Linked DNA regions of Tribolium castaneum. The protein of the gene in region 2 purifies or fractionates together with the protein of the main gene of each other region. This does not show direct contact. Links are inferred from orthologs where the notes say so. Each region holds a gene or a part of one and is shown on either strand. Other genes may lie near its edges. The genes, in order: Nak and AP-2alpha.

What was found.
Region 1: the proteins of AP-2alpha (region 2) and Nak purify together in Drosophila melanogaster (affinity purification with western blotting; 3 studies listed by BioGRID, with this or other methods). This does not show direct contact. The link is inferred for Tribolium castaneum from reciprocal best matches to the Drosophila melanogaster genes AP-2alpha and Nak.

The regions. Positions count from the first base shown.
Region 1 is NC_087394.1:25,678,730-25,683,071, reverse strand, and holds the start of Nak (serine/threonine-protein kinase sel-5), read right to left. Parts: upstream 2,951-4,342; 5' UTR 2,725-2,950; coding exon 2,598-2,724; intron 2,545-2,597; coding exon 2,426-2,544; intron 2,368-2,425; coding exon 2,122-2,367; intron 2,068-2,121; coding exon 1,864-2,067; intron 1,812-1,863; coding exon 1,679-1,811; intron 1-1,678. Other genes in the region: ecto-NOX disulfide-thiol exchanger 2, read left to right, coding at 3,217-3,247, 3,300-3,638.
Region 2 is NC_087403.1:6,346,462-6,350,729, forward strand, and holds the end of AP-2alpha (AP-2 complex subunit alpha), read left to right. Parts: intron 1-363; coding exon 364-517; intron 518-569; coding exon 570-926; intron 927-973; coding exon 974-1,106; intron 1,107-1,152; coding exon 1,153-1,808; intron 1,809-1,860; coding exon 1,861-2,274; intron 2,275-2,319; coding exon 2,320-2,527; intron 2,528-2,580; coding exon 2,581-2,658; 3' UTR 2,659-3,484; downstream 3,485-4,268. UniProt on the Drosophila melanogaster protein: Adaptins are components of the adapter complexes which link clathrin to receptors in coated vesicles. Clathrin-associated protein complexes are believed to interact with the cytoplasmic tails of membrane proteins, leading to their selection and concentration.

The DNA.
Region 1 (4,342 bases), on a different chromosome or scaffold from region 2:
TAGTAAAGTTTGCAACAGAAAAGTTTTTTTTTATTCTAGATTTAAAATTGGAGAGAATAGCCATTTAAATTGAAGTAATATTTACATACATTGCCTTGTAGGCTATAAGGTATATAATATAATAAATTCTTGACAACTGATGTACAGTCACGATCATAAAGAATGTGACCCCTATAAACCGGCCCGGGTAGTACGAGGCTGAGTGCAAACCACAGCAATAAATCTTTTAGGTCGTAAACGTCGTTAAATTAAATCAAAGTAAGTTATCTTTTACTTTGCATTGACAAAAGTCAAATTAGTGAAATAAAAATTTGATTGCAATTGTAAACCTCCTCAATTAATCAAAAATGACTATATCGCGTAAAGAGAGTAAAGAATAATTTGATGTTTCATTTTTTTAAGGTAAAATAAAATTTTAATTATTTAATACTTACATTATAAAAAATATTCTGCGCTAATTTTAAAGTAAGAAGGTAATGATTTGTAAAAGTGAATTGATCATTAAGTGACTATAACAAAATAAATGAATAAAAAGAATAAACGTCGTTAAAACTGTTATAACTTCCTAAGGTGTCTTTTTTTGTAAACGCATTAGCACTAACGTAATTAATTGTGAACGCCATCATTGGAGTTTTCTTTGTCATTCTTTATCACAAAGAGTTTGGATAAAACTTTTCATTTAAATTTTTAATTAAGAATACTCTTTTTTCCTAGTTTCCGTTCAAACAAGTTCTGTCGGGAGATTGCACACTTCATTTACTTTAATTTATTTTACATTGACAAACTAAAACTAATAAAACCCATATGATTCGTTTACATATTTAATTACAATCAAATTTCAATTTCTGATTAATTTAACATTAGTCCATTCATAATAAATGACAACTAAATTCAAATTGGTGCAGTTTCAATGAAAGTTTAGTTCGTCTCCAGTAAATCGACCGTTTTAATGGGTAACACACACAAACAAATAACTAGTTGTTGAGTTCAAAATATTAAAAAAAATATATTATTTTTATTTAATTAGAACAGTAAAACCTTACTTTACTTAGCTTAGCTTTTTAAGCTAACACATTAAATAATTACTCATTTAATTTATGTAACACAATATTAATACATTTTGAGTAAATTATTTACATTTAATAATTTACACGATTAAAAAATAAAAAATTGATGTTATAAAAAAAAAACATCATGCTTCCGAGCAGACGAAGGAATGTTTATGACCCAAAAGATTTATTATAGTGGATTTTTTGTCCCATCCGTTATGTGTAAACAAAAAGTAAATTAATCAGAAGTCGTTACACATTGCTCTGTTCTTCGACTTCGTGGTTTTAAAAATTTAAAAAGTCTTACTTCAAAAATAATTGTTAGAATTAGTGCTTTTAAATTATCAAAATTTTACGATTGTTTAACAATAAAAAAGTCTTTTTTGTGTCCTGTCCGTCAATTTGTTTTAATTTCTGCTCCTATTTCTAATTTTACAAATGTGGCTCTAATTGTAGATTGCAAACAGTTTAAATTGACTTCTACTGATACTGTTCATAAAAACAGTAAATAAAATCTAAAAATATGTGTAGTGTCTCGTCTGATAAAATGGAATGACTGACAAAATTTAAGTAAGTTCCCTTAATTAAGTTCCCTGTCCTTCGAGGAGATTTACTACTGATAAACTTACGCATTAGCTGATGTAAACCTTTCGAATATTTCGAATTATCTGGAATGCTAAAGTTCCCACTTTGTATAGCTAAAGTACTTTCACCAAACGGTAACGTAAAAAAGCATAATCTATACAATAAACAGCCAAGAGCCTGCAATTGATTAAATTAAAGACAAATTACTTTGTAATGTTGTGTTTTTTACCCAAATATCAGCTTTCGTCGTGATTGGTTTGCCACAATACATGTCGACCATCTCAGGTGCCCTATAACTCAGTGTTGTGTACCGTTTAATCTCTTCTTCAACGGGAGCAACCCCCTTATCAGCCGGGTTTAATACTTTCGCAGTGGCCGAACCAAAATCACATATCACGTAGTTACCATTTTCACCTACCAAAATATTTTCTACCTGCAAGTAACCAAAGCTGAGTTATTTAGAGTGTTGCCATCAAGTGCAAAAAACCTTTAAATCACGATGAATTATTGGAGTTTTGCAGTGATGCAATCGTGACACGGCCTCGCAAGTATCACAGAAAATGGTCAGAACTTCATGTTCCGTAAAATTCGCTTTGCCACGTTGTTTCATAAGACCGAAAACGTTTTCCTGACAATAAGGCATCAACAACAATACTTCATAAACGCCCCCTCCTGTGGCCGTCAAACTGGAATCTACATAACCAATGATGTTTTTATGGCCACTTAAACTGCTCTAAAAACCGTTACGTGCCTCAATAGTAATAAAATTTGAATGAATTAAAGTGACTTACAGCGATTTGAATTTCACGTTTGGCAACGTTAAGGTCCTGCTCGTTATTAACGTACATTCGTTTGAGTGCGTAGCGCGTGCCATTGGTGCCCTTTACCAGATACACGATCGCAAAACCACCTAAAGCAAGCAATGGGGATTATACGCCCCCCCGAATTGAAACATGCTACTACCTTCGGCTAGAATATCCTCGACGGTTACCGTTTGGCGGCCGACTGTGAACACTTTTCCTATGTAACTGTTACCTTCCTTCGAAGTGTTATCTATTTTAGTTTCGATTTTAGAAAACAGTTTTTTCATCGTGATTGACACTTAATTGGAAATTATGACACATTGAGTTTGGTGAGTGAATGCGGATTCCCCATCAATTTTCTGGCTCCAGACCGTTACGACAGCCCACCTCACACTTGCTACCGCTTCAAATCGACTATTTTTATTAATTGATTAAAATAATTGTCCGCATAACAGTGTCAGTGACGTTTAAGAAAGTCTGACGTTAGATTGACAACTAACATGTGACTCCCCAACCGAACGTTCCCCCAACCGAATAAATTTTATCAAATACTAAACTCCAATAAGCAAACACAAAAATGACCAAAACTGAATTAGTTTTGCCAACTACGCTCTTTGGTGTCTCCCTAATTCTACTAATTAATTGTTTTCTATTTTTTTTAACGAATTCGTTCTTGTGAACAGTCGGGGAAGTTCAATCGTCAATCCTCGGCAAGTTTGGCAGGTCGATAAAAAATGAACTGTTTTGTTGCTATTTTTCCTTAGAAACTCACTGTAACCATGAGTTTTCAATTCAACAACCAACCTTTGGGTAAATTCCGTTGCAATTGTCGTTGTGTTATTCCTTTTGTCCTTTTTTGTAGGAAATGGGGCAATAGTGCCCACCGGAGGTCAGTCAGGGTTCGTTCCATCAGATGCCAGCGATTTTTCCATTTTTCCTCCCGGTTTAAACGACTCTCCTTTGGAATTCAACATGAACAAGAATAAGACTTCAGTGGCACGCTCAGTGGACGACAAAGACGACTCAAGTTTAAGTCCTTCAGACAAAAGGGACAGACGCCGCATTGAGCGAAGGGATAGGGATCGAAGGGACACCGATAAGTCTCGCGATGATTCAGATTCGAACATGTCCAGCTCGCAGGATGTTATCCCGATCCAAAACGGGTCCAGTTTGGGGCCCAACATGTGGGGCGGCATGATGGGTAATTAATTATTCATTCAATTTGTAGACACTTTGAACTACAGAGGACCATAGATTAGGAAACGAACGATTTTCTGTGCCCAAAAAAATAGTACGCCAGAGTACAAAAGAGGGCGCTTCAAGCGTTATTTGACGCCAATATCGATTTAAACTAACTTAAATTCAACCAATTCATTAATCACTTGGAAAAATACAAAGCTTTGCACTCTTAACAGGCTGCAAAAAACTGCCGACTAAAATCTTCATGAGAAACATATGAAACAAATTATTCCAAATGTAAAATTGCGCTTTGTCCCACATTTTTCAAAACGCTGCGAATACTGTTAAGAAAGTTGTAGAGAATTAAATTTTCTTTAAAAAATGTCCGCGAGACCATATCTATCTTCAACAGTTCAAGTCCCAAGGACATTTAAAGATGCTCAGGAGACTATTTCGGTCCATTTTCCCAGAAGTTAAGTATTTGGAAATTAATTTCTACTTAAACTGTTGAAGATAGGAGCTCTAGCTTTCAGCATGTATGTTTTAAATCATTTAGAGATGCCAAAAAAGAATTTAAAAATAATAATTCACTTGATCCATATGGTATAAATGTTAACATAATAAAGTTCCTACAGAACGTCTAACAGAAATTATAAATAGATGCTTTAGAGAATTGTTTTCCATCGTCATTAAAGGTCTCAAAAATTATGCGCATTCATAAAAAAG
Region 2 (4,268 bases):
TAAAATGAGGTATGATATAATAGTTTTTGGAATCGTTTAGTTAAGAAGGACGCTTCACAAATCTTAAACTTAATTTTCGACGGAATATCTGTTTTTTTTTAGATTTATAGACAATTTAATGGATTAGATGACTTTAATTGCAATTTTGAAAAGAAAAACGTCTAAGTCAACAATTTTTATGTAAAAAAAATTCAGTACTTAAAGGGAAGAAATAAAATAAAAACACTGCTAAAACTAAATGTATATGGTTTGGCGTTTGTCATAATTTTCTTCTTAACAATTGTTAAGGGACCGTGGTTGAAACTTGATTCATTTTTTCACTTTTTTTTGTTACACTTGCTCCAAAGTTTTATGAATTCTTAGCTGAAGACCCGGGGGTGCGCGGCCGCTTGAACGAATGCCTAGAAACGATATTGAATAAAGCGCAGGAGCCTCCAAAATCGAAGAAAGTGCAACACTCAAATGCTAAAAATGCCGTACTGTTCGAGGCCATTAGTTTAATTATTCACAATGACAGGTATATTTATTTATTTTGAAATTTGAAAAGTCTCATTTTGTTATGTATACAGCGAAGCGAATTTGTTGGTGCGTGCTTGTAACCAGTTGGGCCAATTTTTGAGTAATAGAGAAACAAATTTACGTTATTTGGCTTTGGAGTCGATGTGTCATTTAGCAACGTCTGAATTTTCCCACGAGGCTGTTAAGAAACATCAGGAAGTTGTTATCTTGTCGATGAAGATGGAAAAAGATGTTTCAGTGAGGCAACAAGCCGTTGATTTGTTGTACGCTATGTGTGATAAGAGCAATGCTGAGGAAATCGTCCAAGAAATGTTGAATTATTTGGAAACGGCTGATTACTCAATTAGGGAAGAAATGGTCCTAAAAGTTGCGATTTTGGCCGAGAAATACGCCACGGATTACACTTGGTAAACCAAGCCTGATTTTCGTAACACTTTTTTACGTTTTTTGTCAGGTATGTTGATGTTATTTTAAATTTGATAAGAATCGCTGGCGATTATGTGTCGGAAGAGGTGTGGTATCGAGTGATCCAAATCGTTATCAACCGAGATGAAGTGCAAGGTTACGCCGCTAAAACTGTCTTTGAAGTAGGTCTCATTTGAGTCCATAATTCAGCTAACAATTTTTTTGAAGGCTTTGCAAGCACCCGCCTGTCACGAGAACATGGTCAAAGTCGGGGGTTACATCCTGGGAGAGTTTGGCAATTTAATCGCCGGGGATCAGAGATCCTCACCCTCAGTTCAATTCCAACTTCTCCACTCAAAATACCACTTATGTTCGCCGATGACTCGAGCTTTGTTACTCTCGACTTACATCAAATTCATCAATTTGTTCCCCGAAATACGGACTCAAGTACAGGAAGTTTTCAAACAGCACAGCAACCTGAGGTCGGCTGACGCCGAATTGCAACAACGAGCTTCGGAATATTTGCAATTGAGTATTATTGCAAGTTCGGACGTTTTGGCCACAGTATTGGAGGAAATGCCGGCGTTCCCCGAACGAGAGAGCTCGATTCTTGCTGTTTTGAAGAAGAAAAAACCAGGACGGGTCCCAGAAAATGAAATTAAGGAGAACAAAAGTCCCACACCTGTGACCAACCACAACAACGATGTAAATAACAGCAGTGCTGTCTCTGGCGATTTGTTGGGTCTGTCGACTCCGCCAACAGCGCAGCCCAACTCCGGAAACACCGGGGTGCTCCTGGACGTCCTTGGGGACATCTACGGGGGCAAACAGGCGAACAACTCGAACAGTGCCACTCAACCGGTCAACATGTACAACCCCAAGAAGTAAAAACGTTGTTTGCACCCGGTGGTAATTATTTGAATCGTGTTCTTTCAGGTTCGTGTGTAAAAACAACGGCGTTTTATTCGAAAGTGACTTGATCCAGATAGGCGTTAAAAGCGAGTTCCGCCAGAATTTGGGCCGACTTGGCTTGTTTTACGGAAATAAGACTAACGTTCCGTTGCAAAATTTCGTCCCGACCTTGTCTTGGCCCGACGATCAGGCTTCCAAGCTCACCATTCAGATGAAGCCTGTTGAGCCGGTCCTGGAAGCTGGTGCTCAAATCCAACAGATGATCAACGCGGAGTGTGTCGATGACTACACGGGCGCCCCCAGCATAGTGCTCAGTTTCCTGTATCTCAACGTGCCCCAGAAAATAACGATCAAACTTCCATTGACGATTAACAAGTTCTTTGAACCGACTGAAATGAACGGCGAATCCTTCTTCGCAAGGTGGAAAAACCTCGGAAGGTAATTTCCGGGACGCAGTGAGCAGGGTCTGATTGTTTGTTGCAGTACGAACCAGCAAAGATCTCAGAAGATATTTAGGGCGACACAGCAGATGGACTTGCAAGCCGCGCGAACAAAAATAATGGGATTCGGGATGCAACTCCTGGACGGGATTGATCCAAATCCGGATAATTTCGTCTGTGCTGGGATTATCCACATGCGGTCGCAGCAAGTCGGATGTCTTCTTCGTTTAGAGCCGAACAAGAGTGCACAAGTAAGTGGTTCCCGCGGCTTTGAATTTCGTAACTGTTTTCTTTTTTTTGGCAGATGTACAGACTGACGGTGCGCTCTAGTAAAGAAAGCGTCTCGATAGAAATTTGTGATCTTCTAGCGGATCAATTTTAATTAATTTAGAAAATTGTGTAAGTAAGAGTGCATTCCATAGTAGACTTACCTTATTGTTTAAAAATTAATATATTGAAATTTGCACAGACATGCGCTCTTTTTTCGTTTGAGATTCGCTTACAGTAAAATATTAGAAAGAGGATGTTCTTTGAGACAATATGTAAGTGTGTGACGTTAGTGTTGCTTGTTGACAGTTAATTTATAGAGATATGAATTTTTTGCTGAATTCATAACATTAGACCTCTATTCGGAAGAAAAGGGTCCATTGCGGAAAATTAAATGTACAATAAACGTTTTTTGTTGAGACAGATCTGCTGCACTCGAATTAAACCAAAAACTAAGGTGGGTCAAACGATCTTCTTGAATGTATATTAAAAATTCAATATGAAATAAAACTATATCATTAGAGACGTGTAACTTGTGTTATATTGTTATATCATACCAGAGGATGGTCGACGAGTTGGTAATGAATCGTTCTTCAGATGAGGAGTTTATTGAAACAGTTGACTTTCTACTGTCCTCAGATATATTTTTTACCATTTATTACAATAACTGATTACGTTGTGTAGTATGCCTTGAATTATTATTTGTATATGTTGATTGTATAAATAAGTAAAATATTGATTTAGTAATACAAACTCTTTGCAATTCCATTTTTGTATTCCTATTTTTTATATCATCTACAAAGTGCATGATACTTTATGTAAAAATAATATTGTGTAATATATGAATTCAAAGCTAAAGTTGTTGTAACATTATATGCGATTATTTAACATTTTTGTGTTTCTGTTGTATTGATGCTTCAATTACAAAAAATCACCGTCAACATTTTTCATTACTAACCCGACTAATTTTTCCATCCGAACTGATATTTAGGTAACGTCTTTACCTCAGTTCTTATACCACTATTTTACGCATGACTTCATGCCCATCATTCGGACATCAGCGGTTAAAAAATTTAAACAAAAGCGCTTCCTTCTCATTTCAACCCAAGGTAAGTAAAACATGAAGTCACCATTACGGGTTCACTTGCACCAATCCATTGATTGCACTTGATAATGGAAGTGTCGTAACATCCTGAATTTTTAAATGGTCGAAGGTTGGACCAATTTATTGTAATGCGGCTTTTTGCAAACAAGGACAATTTTATAAGTGACTGTTCCGGTCTATCTGTTGCCCATAAAATGCGTTCGATAACATAATGAGCGATTTTTTCGCTCGTAACGTAAATTCAACTGGAGGAAACTACTTTTATGCAAAGAAAAAACCAAAACGGTAAGTGCATAATAAATTTTTTTACCTGAATGACGGCGAACTACCGGTTCAGTGGCGGGTATAATAATAGTTTACGAACTCAGAATTATAAAATACATCAAATTAAGTTGTGCAAGATCACTAGCTTATCTTTCAGCAATGAATAATAATTCGCACGGAACACTAACTCGAGAGTAACAAAAATCAAGAACCTCTTAGTGGAGGGCTTGAATTGATTTTTTTTTAATTCAAAAAACTGCTACAGACTTAACAATTACGCTATGTTGTGGAACGGTTATTTGTGCAATATGAAAACATTTAAAAATAATACAACGTATAACCGAATATCCAAACTG